Bombyx mori: one gene and its partner. The protein of the gene in region 1 binds, or shares a complex with, the protein of each later gene. Links are inferred from orthologs where the notes say so. Each region holds a gene or a part of one and is shown on either strand. Other genes may lie near its edges.

The links. The genes of interacting proteins can lie anywhere in the genome.
Region 2: cell division control protein 45 homolog (region 1) and probable DNA replication complex GINS protein PSF2 share a complex: the UniProt entries of both Homo sapiens proteins name them as parts of the CMG helicase complex. The link is inferred for Bombyx mori from reciprocal best matches to the Homo sapiens genes CDC45 and GINS2.

Annotation. Positions count from the first base shown.
Region 1 is NC_085122.1:1,050,354-1,058,569, forward strand, and holds the start of cell division control protein 45 homolog, read right to left. Parts: upstream 4,760-8,216; 5' UTR 4,623-4,759; coding exon 4,572-4,622; intron 4,497-4,571; coding exon 4,206-4,496; intron 3,749-4,205; coding exon 3,674-3,748; intron 3,535-3,673; coding exon 3,400-3,534; intron 3,244-3,399; coding exon 3,067-3,243; intron 1-3,066. Other genes in the region: RNA polymerase II-associated protein 1, read right to left, coding at 5,778-8,216. UniProt on the Homo sapiens protein: Required for initiation of chromosomal DNA replication. Core component of CDC45-MCM-GINS (CMG) helicase, the molecular machine that unwinds template DNA during replication, and around which the replisome is built.
Region 2 is NC_085116.1:1,523,301-1,531,445, forward strand, and holds probable DNA replication complex GINS protein PSF2, read left to right. Parts: upstream 1-2,658; 5' UTR 2,659-3,191; coding exon 3,192-3,436; intron 3,437-3,877; coding exon 3,878-4,050; intron 4,051-4,323; coding exon 4,324-4,619; 3' UTR 4,620-5,083; coding exon of another isoform or gene 5,084-5,161; 3' UTR 5,162-5,282; downstream 5,283-8,145. UniProt on the Homo sapiens protein: Required for correct functioning of the GINS complex, a complex that plays an essential role in the initiation of DNA replication, and progression of DNA replication forks.

The DNA of each region.
Region 1 (8,216 bases):
TCGGCGAGGCCAAGTCTCAGAGCATGAAGACGCTCCTAGAGACGCTCGACCAGGATCCCTGGGGGCGCCCGTACCAAACGGTCCGCAAGAAATTGCGGCCGTGGGCGCTCCCGGTGACAGAGCGTCTCCAGCCTCAGCAGCTGCGGGAGATTGTCTCCGGGCTGTTCCCGCGGATGGAGAGGGACTTCGAGCCCCCCTCCATGGGCGCGCCGCCACGGGGTGATGTGAGCGGTGATGCCCCTGCTGAGGTGGTCCCTCCGAGTATCTCGGAGGAGGAGATTCGTGCGGCCGTGTCGAGGATGCGGAGGAAGGACGCGGCCCCCGGCCCTGACGGTGTTCATGGTCGGGTCTGGGATTTGGCCTTCGGTGCCCTTGGGGACCGGCTCGTGCGGCTCTTTGAAGCCTGCCTCGAGTCGGGACGGTTTCCGAAACAGTGGAAGACGGGCAGACTTGTTTTGCTGAGGAAGGAGGGACGCCCTGCAGACTCACCTGCGGGGTACCGTCCAATCGTGTTGCTGGACGAGGCGGGAAAACTGCTCGAGCGAGTGGTGGCCGCCCGCATCGTCCAGCACTTGGCGGGGGTGGGTCCCGATCTGTCAACGGAGCAGTTCGGATTCAGGGAGGGCCGCTCGACCATCGACGCGGTGATGCGCGTGCGCGCCCTCTCTGATGAGGCTGTCGGCCGGGGCGGGGTTGCACTGGCGGTGTCCCTGGACATCGCCAATGCGTTCAACACCCTGCCCTGGTCGGTGATCGCAGGGGCGCTGGAGTATCACGGCGTCCCTGCGTATCTCCGTCGGCTGATCGGGTCCTACCTCGAGGACAGGTCGGTCATGTGCACCGAGCACGGTGGGGCGGTGCTCCGCTTCCCCGTCGAGCGCGGTGTCCCACAGGGGTCGGTCCTTGGCCCTCTCTTGTGGAACATCGGCTACGACTGGGTCCTGCGGGGTGCCCTTAGCGCTCCTCTCCCGGGTCTAAGCGTAGTTTGTTACGTGGACGACACCTTGGTCGTGGCCCGGGGTAGGGACTTGCGCGAGTCTGCCCGTCTTTCCTGCGCGGGGGTGGCCTTCGTCGTCGGCAGGATCCGAAGGCTGGGTCTGGAGGTGGCGTTCGATAAATCCCAGGCCCTGTTGTTCCACGGGGCCCGGAGAGCGCCGCCTCAGGGGGCCCACCTCGTGATCGGAGGCGTTCGCGTCGAGATCGAGGCGACCGGGTTGCGGTACCTCGGCCTCGTACTGGACGGTCGTTGGAGCTTCCGTGCTCACTTCGAAAGATTGGGTCCCCGACTGATGGCAGCCGCCGGCTCGCTGAGTCGGCTGTTGCCGAACGTCGGGGGTCCCGACATGGTGGTGCGCCGCCTCTACACGGGGGTGGTGCGGTCAATGGCACTGTACGGGGCGCCCGTATGGTGCCACGCCCTGACCCGTGACAACGTCGCAGCGTTGCGACGTCCGCAGCGCGCGATTGCGGTCAGGGCGGTTCGTGGGTACCGCACCGTCTCGTTCGAGGCGGCGTGCGTGCTCGCCGGGACGCCTCCCTGGGACCTGGAAGCGGAGGCGCTTGCTGCGGATTACGCGTGGCGATGTGATCTCCGCTCCAGGGGGGAGCCGCGTCCCGGCGCGGCGGAAGTTCGAGCGCGGAAGCTTCAATCTCGGCGTGCCGTGCTCGAGGCGTGGTCTCGCCGCCTGGCGGACCCCGCCTACGGGCGACGGACCGTCGAGGCGATCCGCCCGGTCCTCTCGGACTGGGTGAATCGCGACCGAGGACGTCTCACCTTCCGAGCGACGCAGGTGCTCACGGGACACGGCTGTTTCGGTCGCTACCTGCACCTCGTCGCCCGGAGGGAGCCGACGCCGAAGTGCCACCATTGCAGTGGCTGCAACGAGGACACGGCGGAGCACACGCTCGCGTGCTGCCCCGCTTTCGCGGAGCAGCGCCGCGTCCTCGTTGCAAAAATAGGACCGGACTTGTCGCTTCCGACCGTCGTGGCTGCGATGCTCGGCAGCGATGAGTCCTGGCAGGCGATGCTCGACTTCTGCGTGTCCACCATCTCGCAGAAGGAGGCGGCGGAACGGGAGAGGGAGAACTCTTCCTCCCTCTCGGCGCCGTGCCGCCGCCGTCGAGCCGGGGGTCGGAGGAGGGCGTTTGTCCAGCTCCGGCCCCTATGAGGAGGCAGTCTCCTCCCGGTGATGGTCACGGGGCGACCTAAGGGGGCTGAGACTGCGCCGCACGCTACCGTCACTCTAGCGCGCTGGCACCAGGAGGACGGGACGACGCGTCGGCGGCTGCGGACTGCGATGCGGTCCGCATTTTCGTCGTCGCTGTCGTCGCCGAACACTGTGGAAGAGCAACCCGGTCGGCGGTGTATCGCGTTCCGACCCGGCAGGCTGGTTCTGGCCCAGCGGGGTATCCCGGAACACCAGCGGCATCGCCCGGGCGGCCTGAAGGGCCGCCGTACCGCGGAGACTGACGTCGTTGGTCGTCGACTATCGCCTCGACGACCCGTCGGTCGGGCGTCCTCGGGGTGGCGCCGCGTGTCTGGTTGTAGTGTTGACCGCGGGAACCCCCCTACTCTGACCGGGTTTTGACCCCGGACGGAGATCGGACGCCGGGTGTAAGAGTGCAGGGGAGTCGTTTAGTGGGTGGGCCCTAAATTCCTTGGGCCCGCGGTCTGCTCTCAACACCTGCAGATCGTTGAGTCTCACATACCCCGCGCGCCCCCTAGGCGCGGGGACCTCGTAGGAGGTTCGGCCCACGGCCCGGAAAAAAAAAAAAAAAAAAAAAAAAAAAAAAGTAAATTAACCCACTTACACAGCCCACTGAGTTTCTCGCCAGACCTTCCGATCCGGTGATGGATCCAAACCGATAGAAGCAGACCAGTGCTAGGGCTAGAGTTAGCAACGTCCACAGCTTAGAGCCCCGTGAGCTCACCTACTCTCTCGTTTACGCTGGCATAACCTCTAAAGGCTACCCAGCTTAAGTAATACCCGTGGCAATGTACAGTAGTTGTATCTCGTGCATGATATTGGTGTGTGCCCATATATTTATGTGCAGTAACATACTCACATGTGAAGGTAGTTGCGCGGCGAGATGTCGATGCAGCGCATGTGCATCAAGCAGAGCTTGTGCAGGGGAGCGTGTGTGAGTGGCAGCATACGCACTGACAGCTATGCATCCGGCCCACGTGTACTCCACTCCGCTGCGACATAGCAGCCAGGCCAGCTCTACTGCTATGCAAGCACTCTAATGCAAATGTATTATTAGATTAAGACTTATCTGTAAATAATTGTCAAATTCATATTACAAGTGAGATTGATACAAGACTGGATCTACTTTATTCATTAATGTCCATAATTATTGTTAACACAGTTCAATAGGTTTATCAGACGTTTTACTCACCGGTTTACCATAATATGAGAATTGAGTGTAGTTAAACATAAGATCGTTTCGTTTTGTTTCCCATTCTCTACGTTGACGCCGTCTCTCGACAAAAGCTTCTAGGTCTTCTCGACCACTTGGCATTTCTTCTTCGTTCTGTAATTATTTTTAATATCTTCACACTGACTTCAAATTTTAAATACCATTAAATTTTTATTGTAAACTAGATTTTTAAAAACTTTTGGAGTTTGCAGCATTGCAAAATAGTCTTAAATCAGATATTACAGTTTCGTACCTCATCATCATCATCTCTGAATATATCATCAAAATTAGGAATGTTCTCTTCTTCATCACGGTACACCAGTCTCACCTGTAACAGAACAAAATATATATTTCTACCTACTATCTAGTAATCTAGTGGGGTTGTACTAACTTCACTGAACATGTTTTTTTTTCTTTCTAAATGTTAAAACAATAAAGCCATGTTAGCTTCTAAATTCCCTTCCTTTATTTGAGGTCAAGTCTTTTGATTCTGTTCTGTTGAAACATTTTGCTGCACTTTGTGTCATATCCTAACATAATGATTATGTACTTTGTCAAATTTAGGCTCTAAGCTATCTCTCTATCTCTAACTAACTAATCTAGTCTTTTGAACAGTTATTCTTGTTTATTCACCCAAACTTCATATGAAATGGAGTGGATTAAGAACTTTTTTCATTTGTTCACCCATCCATAAGCAAGTTTATGTCTGTCTAAAAATTCAATTCCCAAATCATTGCCAACATAAAGTATTTATAACATCTGCTGCTCTCTCTAGTTCCACTAACCTGTCCATCGCTATAAACATTGCAGACATCAGTCGGTTTATGGGAGTCCAGCACAAAAAATACCACATCCTCCTCGGGCTGTAAGATATCGACCAGGTCTATAGTACCTCCGCAGTTCACCAACACTACGTACTTGACTTCTTCATTGTTTTCTTCGTAAGCAGTCTTCAATTCAGAAATACCCCCCACCGGCACTAGCGTATATGATATATTATCACTCTTGAATAATCCTTGAAGTATTTTACATGTACATATTGCATCTACATCATAATGCACTAATAATAACACGCGCTGGAAGTAAATTAACAAAAATACAATTTTCAGGTCAATATTTCACGAATATTTATCTTCAGTTTTAAAGCTTACATTGCCTAAAAGGAGATTGTAAAAGTCATTTCTGAGGTCCTCTATAAACATTTTTGCCGTACACAGGAACGAATAACTCAGGAAATAACCATTTTCCTATGAGTGTTAGAAATTTTTAACATATAAAAAACATTGAACCACCATTGAAATTGAACACCTGCGGCTTCTGTCATTAACTTGTCAATAATGTCAATATTTTGTTCTTGTTGACATTTTGAAACTAACTGTTAAGTAATTTTCCCGCGTAAACCAGTTGTCAACTTCATATATTTGCACGGCCGTCGACTGGGTTTAAGTAGAATAGTTATTTAGTTATTTTATCCAGTAGAATGCGGCCATTCTACTAAGACTTCACAATGGCTTCTAAGAACCAGACTAGTATTTCAAGACATTTTTTGTATTTCCCCGCTCTTGAGCACTTGCTGCCTAATAACAATTTTTTTTTTATAAATTAACACTTTCTTTTCATAAACACGAAAACATGCAAAAATTTACATGAGCTACATACCAAACAAGAAGATGGTAATTTAATTTTTGTTGTTGCCATTGGATTTATCTTTATTTCACTCCGGAATAAAAATAGGTACTTTATTTCTGATCCTCCTACGAGGTCCAGACGCCTACGAAACGACTCTCCTGTACTCTCACCCAGGCGTTCGAAGCCCCCTCCTGTTACTTCTTCAATTAAATTAATATAGCAATGGGTTATTTGGGTACCACTATATTACAAATAATATACGCCGCGAAGGATTCACGCGGTGCTTGAAGGACGGGACGGAATTAATGTTTCGTCGACAATTCAAGAATTTCGACCTCATATTTTAACGAGGGTGGTGGGGCTTAAGATTGGAACAGAAACGACTTACCGAAACGGGAAAAACAGGGGATATTAAGGGTTAATTAAATTAAAATAATTTAATTCATATTGAAAATTCAATCCTTTATTACTTATTACAAAAAGCCACGTTCGCCATGGGTAGTTAGAGAAGTCATAAAGGCTTTCGTATACTATAGTTGAGAGTTTACATTGAATAATGTAGCATGTGAGTTCATCGTGAGTTGATCTACAGGAACAAAAATCAATTTTGTCCACACAAATCAGGTTAATTGGAGAAAATGCTTCCTGAAGTTTAAAATGAATACCGTCAAAATATCTTATTGACAAAAATGTCAACAAGAAAAACGTTACATTGTATTTTAGTAATTTCAAGTGTTTTGTATCTGAGATCGATTCTTGAATATGTGCACGTGATGACTCGCAATTTTATGCATTATTGTATCCGGTCGTAGTAAATTACAGGATAGCGCGCGATGATAAGATTTAATCAAAGATTCGTCCGTCTCTTCTGGATAAAGATACTCATTTACTTCATAACAAAGTAGTTGTTCCGGGCAATCTAACGCCCGGAGACATCCAGCATATTCCGACCATATCAATTTCCTCCATTTAACATTATGCTTTTGAGCTAAAGGCACCAATACACATGCAGAAAACACGTCATCTCCATAGCTGACCGCTTGGAATTGTTCTAGAAACTGTGTGTAGAAATCTTGGAAGTTGTTCAAGCCCGTTAATTGTTTATCGAAATTGAAGGCTGATTTCTTTTTGAAAAGGACATTGGTGCATTTCTGCAGTAACATTCTAATTTTTGGTTGCAAGAATAACGAGTTGTCACATAAAAACACGCACATGATTCGACAAAATCTATCTGTTACATCAATATCATTGACTAAATCAGAAAAACAGAGTTCGTTAAACAATATCCATTCTAAGCTACATGTTATTATAAATTCCTTTTCGGTCGCTATTTGCGCTGACATTTTCTGGGCATGATCTCCGGAAACATGGGGAATCGACTCCGCCTCCTGATTTTTACTGTATAACATCAAAATTGGCAAATAAATCCAGTCTCTTGGCAAAATTGGCTCCATCCATTTTCTTAACACAACATTAGCACCTGTATCTTTGTAATTCAAGTTAATAACTCTACGGTAACATTGTCGTATGTCTTCTATGGCAGTTAAAGCTCTTGAGAATCCGTCTGCATCAGTCAAATTGACAAGATTTAACAACCTTTCGGCCGTGAACCAATCTTTGTTAAAAACGATACTTTCAAATAAGAAATCTAGTTCATATTTTTTATCTACCCTCAATGTGTAACACAATTTGTTAGCTACTGCATACATTACATCCTTTTTGCTTTCATCAACATTACACATAACAGATAATTTCATAACGTAAAAAACAAAATTAGTTTCCATTCTAGTGAACCAATTATCTGAAAGACTAGGAACACATTTAGATAATCTTTGCAAATAGTTCCAAACATGGTCTAAGAATATTCTAGAGATTTCTTTTTGATTGACTATTGTCAGTAATTTGAAAAGTGACATCAGCAGAGGTATGGGAGATGCAACTTTCAGTATTGGTAAAACTTTTTGAGCAGAATCAATGACAGTGCATTTTAGACTTATTAAGTTCTTAACTGAATACAAATCTTTATTTTCAATTTTTGAGAGCAAATTAGAGCAGGAACTAAGGTTGTTAATCACATTTTGAAATCCTTTAGAATAAGACAGTTGTTTCAGGGCATCACTCACGAACTTCACAGGCAATTGTTCAATTTCAATAACAGTATAACAGCAATCTAAAGCCGAGCATAAAATTCTCAGATGCGCACATGTATAATGTTCCATTTGCGATAACTGACCAAACCATTTCAATAGCCCTTCCTTCAACAACTTATAAACTTCAGTCTTGAAAGTAAGAAAATCATTTAAATTATGTTTCAGTATGTTATTTATCAGCTGCAAGACCACAGCTGCATGTGTTGCTGCCAACACAGAAGCTTCCACATTAATGTCTGTACCCTGAACGTGTTTGTATAAAGCTGTCAGTATGACTGGACACAATGAAATGGCACTATCATAGCTTAGTCCAAAATAAAGTAAATTTGATAGTATACAATATGACTCAGTCTGTATTCTTAAGCCATAACTTCTGTCAACTGCTGAACTCAGATACACAGAAATTGGTGCTAAAATATTGTATTTCATTAGTAAAATATTGCAAATTTCTTCAGTTTGTAGACTTAGAACTCTTAGTAGCTTTATAGCTGCTAAAACTGGTTTACCATTATATACAACTTGTGGTTTGAAGACAAAATTGACACCTGTCACCGGAACAAAATTTGTTATTATAGAGTTCATGAGGTGCTCCATTTCACAGATTCTTTTGGCAGTCTCGACAGAATCTCTACCTAGTCTTGTTAATATCTGTAAGCAATACTGTACACAGTTGAAGCTTGGTTTTATTGACTCTAATATATAGTATATCCTTTGCAGTATATCTGTTCTTAATAGGGCTGCAATTAAATCAATCTCTGCTAAATGAAAGTCTTTTAACTCTGCTTCTTTTGATTCTAGTTCCTCTATTTCTGATTTATCATTTTCAAAGCAAGGCTGCAGGTTTCCTTCTTCAAATCCTATCAATGCATCGAGCGACGCTTCATCTAACTTGTTGTACACTAAATTTCTCATTGCTTTCAAAGCAGGTTCAAGAATTATAACTTTATTTTCATCCATTGCAATTCTTATGATGAAAAACAACTTGCTCAATGGTATTTCTATAATGTCTTTGTAAGT
Region 2 (8,145 bases), on another chromosome or scaffold:
AATATTAGAATTGAAAGTTCATCTTATAAGAAGGGATCTCTTCCAGACGATTGGATAATAAAGACAAAAAAAGAAGTGATGTATAAATTAATTGTTGTTTGCACTTGAATGAAATATTTCTACCATAGCACCGTCAACGTACCTCAAATGACTTTTGTGTATTTTGAACTAATAGGTGTATTTAATGAATTTATTCTGGACATGTTACAAACAAAAAACATTAGTTTCGTTTAATTAAGAACTTGGAAAATACTGTTAGTTGTGACTCTAACCGCCACCTTTTGTGGAAATTTGAAACTAGTAAACGTAATGGAAGTACATACGTATTGAAAATAGATGTCGCTAGATGCATCGAATGTCACATTTGACATATTTATGGCGCGAAAAAACGCCTTAAAACAGAATGGGTTTTAAATGACTAGCTGAATTTCCGGGCGCGATCTCACGAATTTGTATGCAGATTTAAGAAGAAAGATGTTGAATGTTGTTGCTCGGAGACAATGTGTTTTTCGCTCGTGCAGACACATCTGTTATTTATTTGTCGCATTCAAGACAGGTTACTTTTATAAATCTCCAAGATGTTTTTTATCTGTGACGTTTTTATGTTTCGTGAAATCGCTGAATGCTTTTTCTTCTTGTGATTATTTCACTGTAGTATGTTTACATATTTCAAAGGTTTACCAGAAAATAAATGAAATATTAGTATTTTCTATGATAAAAGATAGACTCTACAGATTAAATATGATTCGTTCAAAATAAAATTTATTGCCATTTTCATAGTGTCGAATAGGTGCGTTACTAAAAACTCCGACGAAATAGTAGACTTAGCACTGAAATTGGGCGAATGAAATACATAGTGATCAGTTTATAGACAGAGCAATGTATGTGTTTTTTCCAAACTAAGAGACGCATAAACTTACTGTTCTCTCTGACACAAGGGGGTGAGTCCCCACCAATAATATAGAGCCATAAATATCACCCGTCTGAGACATTGTCAACCGGCTACCCTAATTTACGAGGAGTAATTAGGAGTTTGCACTCTGCCAAAACGATTTGCATCGATCGCCACTCGTAAATGACGTCAATAATTTTAAATGGTAATTTCAATGTTTTACTTTTATGCAGAGAGATGAAGAGTGAGCGAGTTTCGCGTTTTATTTCAGGATTATGCTAACGACTAAATTACATGTAAGGCTAACTTATGCAATTTGAGTTTAAATTAAGCAATTCACAAAAATAATACCCACTTATTTAATGTTCTTTATTTACGATTCCACTTAAAATTGTTCTATAACTACGATTTTTTTTAAAGTAGATTTTTTTTATTTTAGTGCCACCTAGTTCAATCATCTGAACTACGCCAGCTTTAGTGAAAACAAACCATCTATGTCAGTTATTTAAATGTAGCATAGATGACGCTTAAATAAGCAAATTTAAAGAAAACATGTAAATTAAAACTTAATTACCTACTTCCAGTATCGCCATTCATACAGCTATTTAAAACACTGGATTTATGAAACTTATTTCATAAATTCGATCTACTAAGTCGTATTATTTAAACGTTATTCCCGCCAATTTTCCTTTTTTTTAAGGGATTTTATGAACTGGTAACTAAGACTTTTAGGTCATTTTTCGTATTTTCGTATTTTAATTTATATTCATAGTTTTATGAAAAATGATAATATGGAGTGAAATGAAATGAAAATAATTAATTTGAGACATTAATCAACTGGGATGAAATATAATCTCAGTAAAATGGTGGTCACTTACCGCCAAAAAATCTGCATCACTATGTCAGTATGTCAAAGCATAGAACACTTACTATTTGAGTTTCAAAGTCAAACAATTAAGCTCTATAAACAAGAGTAAATATCAGTGGTCTCGAACCTACCGATTTTTCGGTATATCTACCGATATGGGCACTGATCTATTGAAATACCGAAATAAAATGATTTTTCTACGATTTCAGAGTATACATGGAAATTCTCCCGATTTTTCTACCGATTTGACACTTTTAGACATTATTGATCCAAAACATGTTAAAATTGGCAAGACTACTTCGATACTACTTAAAAGTAGGCTCTTTCCCAATATTGTTCAGAGCAATGATTTCCAGGAAATTGATAGAGTAGCGCATTTTAAGAAATTGTGAATAAATCAAAACATTTCCTAATGATGTAGAACTATTTTGGGAAGAAGTAACTTTATTAAAACGTGGCGATGAAACTCAAATGTTTCCTTTGTTGTCTAATTTCATCCTTAATATTTTATCACTTTCCTATTCATCCGCTAACGTTGAACGCATATTTATTCTTTTGAAAACAAAACAGCGAAATAGGCTGTCTACTGAGTCAATCACTGGTCTATTACATGCAAAACGACTCTATAATACAGCTAATTGCTATGATTTTGAAATTAATTCAACGATGACTGCAGCTATGGCCAAACAATATTGGTATAAAAAATATTTATTCTTAAATATGATTGTTATAAATTAGTATGTAAGTTTTTTTTTCAATAAATAAACGCATTTGATTGAATATTGTATATTTTTTGACTAATACCGATTTTGGGTACAAAATAGTACAAATGTACCGATTTTAGCTGGCAAGTCTACTAATCTCGCTCTATGACGTTTGAGATCAGTGATAAAGATAAGGCGACTTTTTGGCGGGAACGCGAGGAGTGAAGTTGTGTGTTTTGTTTTATTTTGTCTATTTAGTGTTTCTTGGGTTTATATGTGTAATAATGGTGGTTTATTAACTGTTTAATATCTGTGAAAGTGCAAAAATGTGGGAAAATGAAACAAAGCCGCTGGACGTCACTTCTCGGGATCCTCCAAAAGTCCAACGAAAAAATCTCAGTAAATGACCACCATTTTACTGAGATTATAGTTCATCCCATATCATCTCATCTCATTTCATTTGATTTCATCCCAGTTAATTAATGTCTCAAATTAATTATCTTCATTTCATTTCATCATTTTTCATAAAAATAAGAGTATAAATTAAAATAAGACATGACTTAAAAGTCTTAGTTACCAGGTCATAATATAAAATACCTAAAAAAATATGATAAATAAAAACATGATAAAGGTAGGTAATATTCCTAAATTTTTAACCAAAATGAATTAAATTAAATATATGTATATTATTAAATGATTATAAATTATTAAAACCATAAAAATAATAATGGAACCTTATGAAATCGAGTTTATTGGTGAGAATCGGATAATCAGTATAACACCAAACTTTACCCATGATAAAATATACTTGATATGCGGTGAATTTGGTCCGTTTCGTGCTGGTTTACCTGTGAACGTACCACTCTGGCTGGCTATCATGCTAAAGCAGAAACAAAAGTGCCATGTTATCCCTCCTGACTGGATGGACGTGGAAGTTTTGGAGAATATTAAAGAAGAGGAAAAGCGTTCCAGGTTTGTCAATATATTTAATAAATTTGGTTTTTTACAAAACACACCAGTTTCAAAACTTTGATCTTTCTAGGTGGTCCAGTTTATTCCAGATACAATTTAATATTTTGTTTATACAACTTCCATGTCTTAATTTTAAATCAAAAAGTATATTTTATTATTATGGTTTATGTTATAAATACCTTCTAGAGCCATCCATTCTAACACTGATACTAAACAATAACTATTAGTGGTCTACCTGTTAATAAATCTCAAATTGTAACATGATTAAAAAACTTGAAGTTCATTGGTCAATAAATATATCTTTGCCAGTACTCATGAAAGGGTGTGTAAATATAAAATCTATCATTAAATGGCGTTTGAGAATTATCAGCAAGATAAAGCAAGTAGTTGTAGTAGTCAAAGTTTTCACATTAAATCTTCCTAAAATTATCAAACTACCAGATTCTTCACAAAGATGCCAAATGAACACTATATGGTGGAAGCCAAACTGATACTTGGTTCAGCTGCCGAAGATGTTCCCAATGCACCAGAAATAAAGACTATTATCAAAGACATCTGGGATATAAGAATGTCTAAGTTACGAACATCAATGGATGCATTGATGAAAACTGGAGGTTTGTAATGATTCCTTTAAAATACTTTACTTTTAAGTACTTTTAACTTACATTTTAAAGATTTTTGAATTGAGAGGATTTTATATTTTATTTTATTGTAACTGATGATATTGTAAACCTGCATGGATCAGAAAGCCTATAATGATGATATGTGGTCTTCGGTAACAACTTAACACCAGAATGGTATGCTTAAATTAAGATAAGAAAAAAATATAGAATGTGACTTACTCAGTCATAAGTTAAATTCAGGACATTTATAATTGACATTTTCAGGTGGCTATGGCAGATTAGATCATTTAACAATGATGGAAATAAACTCAGTGAAACCTCTTCTACCTGCTGCTATGGACAACCTCTTAAGGATGCAAATGGTAAGAACATGTGTGACAAATTGTAATATACTCTCCTTTAGACACATCCTTCTGTATTTTCATCTCCACTTTGTCCTTTTTACGAATATCTCTGAATGTATGTACCATCCTTCGGACCATCTTATACGTGACACATTTATGCATTCTACTCTGAAGGATCCTTGGATTTCTGTTCTAGACTTCACTCTCGTGTCCTAGTAGAAGGGCAAATCACATTGTTGTGATGATGATGTGTGTTACCAAAACTAAAACTGTGAGTGTGCAGTGAGTTCAGCTAACCTAAGGTTTAGTAACTACGGTAATTTGGAGTTTGTAAACCTGGTCTTATCAATATCATTGTTAAACTTAAATTCGGTATTGAAGATTTTTTTATTTGTTTTATAGAGTAAATTACAGTAAGCTGTCTTTAGACTTTCAACTGTAGTTTTGACAAAAATAATTTGATAGGCAGTACACGCACAATGTCCATATCAGTGAATCTACACTGGATCTAGTAGATCTGAAGACACTCTTCTTCAGTCTTCTTGTTGTCATTTGGTTGTCCGTTAGATGCTTAGCAAGGTTATTTGGGTGGGCTTTAAAATTGAAGATCTGAGTGCAATTATTCTTATATGTACTTGCAGTACAGTTTTGTAACAAATAATCAACTTTTTGTTTTACAGAAAACGAAAAAGACAGCACCATCGCTCAATTTAAATAGTTCAACCTTCAGTCAATCAGGGAGCTCTCAAAATACATAGTTTTAAGTGTAGTTAAGTGTAGTTTAAGTTTAGTAAGTTCTTAATACTTTTTAATGATTTTGTAACAAAGTGGTTGGTAACAATCAAAAAGTGGTAATAACATTAAAAACACTTATTGTAACCTTGTTTTTATTCTTTTTAGATATTTAAAATTGCATGCATTTAGAGTTGATCTTATTATATTAAACATTTGATAACCTGTTGTTTTAGACCGAAACCTCAAATCTCAACAGTTTTTATTTTTCACTGCCTAATCTTCGGTAGCCTACGGGGCTGTTCAACTACGCGCGGACCATTAGGTGGGCTCATGGGCACAACCTGGAAAAATATGCTAACACCAGCCCTAACAAAAGCAGTGCTTCGCAGAATCTACCACCGGATCGGAACCGCGACCCACTTAGAAGATCCGGCGGGAAATTAAGTGGGCTGTGTCTATGGACTAGCTCGCACGTCGAACTCTTCAGTTCAGTTCGTCAACGCGTCAGTAATCGATGAATTCGACGAAGACAATGACCACTGCTTAAAGACCTAAAAGCACCGAGAGCGGATGTTGAGGACCCGACAAGATAAATTTTGGGCGACGGCGGCTGCCTTGTCCCGTCGCCTGGGTGCGATATGTAACAGGTCTACAAAAAAAATTATTTTTTTCTACTTTTTTTTCATAGATGAATTCATTATATTTTGTGCTCCAAACACGGAATCTGACATACAATTAGTTACCACACGTAGATTCCCATATAATATTTATTTAATTAACAAACAATATTATTAAAATATCAATTATCATAACGAAATGAAAACATATTTCGGTCTAAGTTTTACAGTGAAAAATCTGAAATTATAGTCACAAAATGAATATATATCGGTCAGTTATCTCATTATATGGTGAGAAGATTTATTTTGTGGTTTTTTTATTTGTCATCGTTTCTATTGGAGTTTCTCAGCGAATTGACCAACAGAAATCAGCAAGCACTGCTGCTGACCATTTCCCACTGTAGCGTTTTTCAATGTGCATTATATCCTGATGAAACCTTTCACCATATTCATCTGATACGGCTCCAAGATTTTCAGGAAAGAGATCTAAAAGAGAGTCGGAAAAATAAATCTTGAGTGACATATTGCATCCTAAAGCTTTATAAGCAAAAAGAAGCTCCCGAATGATTTGTCAGTAGTTCTCACTTTTTCTGTTCCCAAGAAAATTATGACAAACTTTCACAAAAGCCGCCCAAGCTCTTTTTTCTGCTTCGTTCAACTTCGAATTAAAATTTTCATCTTTCATTAGCTCACGTAAGTATCTGTTGATCTACAAAAATTTCTTCCTTCAATTTTGCGTCACTGATTCGAGGAATTTTGGTTTTTAGATATTGAAATTATTCATTGATATTAATTTTAGATATAGTTTTTCTTGAGTCCCAACCTTATGTGAGTGGTGGCAGAAATTTTTTCTCACTTGGCACCAAAGGTTTCTGAGACACATTTTTAAGCCCAGGATTTAAAGTTTTTATCTTGCGTGACTGTCCCACTCACAAAGAAAACGGCAAAACTTTGTGTACCCTCATTGTAATCCGGTGAGTATAGCGACGACTTTTAAATCAGCACAAATATTCCATAAGTAGTTTGAGTTCCATAAAGGTTTGAAAAAAAAAACATATCAAAAAATCTAGACGTGATGGAAAAAATCGGCCAAGGGGTATAGATTCAGAACATTTAAATCGTCATATTTATGACAAAAAATTTTAAAGGAGGATTTCATTGCATACCTGTGTAATTAGCGGTGGCCATTAAAAGAGATTTATAGTGTGGTGCCACTTTATAAAAGTTGTGTTCTGACGCTTCCAGATCGGTTTCGCTTAAAAATCCGAGGTATTGCTTACCCCTGCTATTACCTGTCCCTTTATTATTATTTTTTCGGGCCGGAGGCCGAACCTCCTACGAGATCCCCGGCGGGGTATGTGGGGCTGGTCCGCGAATGCGAGACCGCGGGCCCAAGGAATTTTAGGACCGTACCGCACTAAATGACCCCTGCGTTCTTACACCCGACGTCCGATCTCCGTCTGGGGTCAGAACCCGGTCAGAGTAGGGAGGTTCCCGCGGTCAACGCTACAACCAGACACGCGGCGCCACCCCGAGGACGCCCGACCGACGAGTCGTCGAGGCGATAGTCAACGACCAACGACGTCGGTCTCCGCGGTACGGCGGCCCTACCAGGCCGCCTCGCGCTGGTGTTCCGGGATACCCCGCTGGGCCAGAACCAGCCTGTCGGAAGGCGATACACCGCCGAGCGGGTTGCTACTACTACCTGATCCCTACATTAACAGTTCCATATTGGTGTTATTTTCTGTCAATATAGTTTCGTTTTAACAATCCCTTACAATTGCTTTGTATAGAAATAAAATAAAAAATTCATAAGAAAAAAATATATTTCTTCTGAAAACCAAGATTTACAATTCTTCACTTAAATGTAAAAAAGTAGAAGACGCAAACTACGAACCTAATTAATTGCTCTGTTAGTCTTATTTATGTCACTATAAGGTACTTATTAAATTTAAATGCACTTAGCCTAGATTATAATCTAGATAGGCAGCTTCAATTAATAAACTATAAAATATTAATTTATATTTTTATCTATCAAAGAAATATTGAAATTTAATATAATTATGTACCTACATAAATTAAGGATTATTTAATCAAAGATACAAACAAACGGTCAATGAACTTAGAATTCAGTCATGTATTTTCAAACAGAAGCACAGGGATATTAATCATTTTCTATGTTTCCAAAAGGTGATTGGTCTAGTATATTATAAAACGACCATTTGTTTTAAAGTAAGATTCCTTTAAATGTATGTTCCATCAAAAGAATTAAACTTGTATTTAAGGAAATTTATGTAAAATAATTACTACAAAAAACCCCATATACTTCTGTTGTTCACAATTATGTATGTATATTACTAGTAGTTAGTTATGGCCATCAATGATTATTA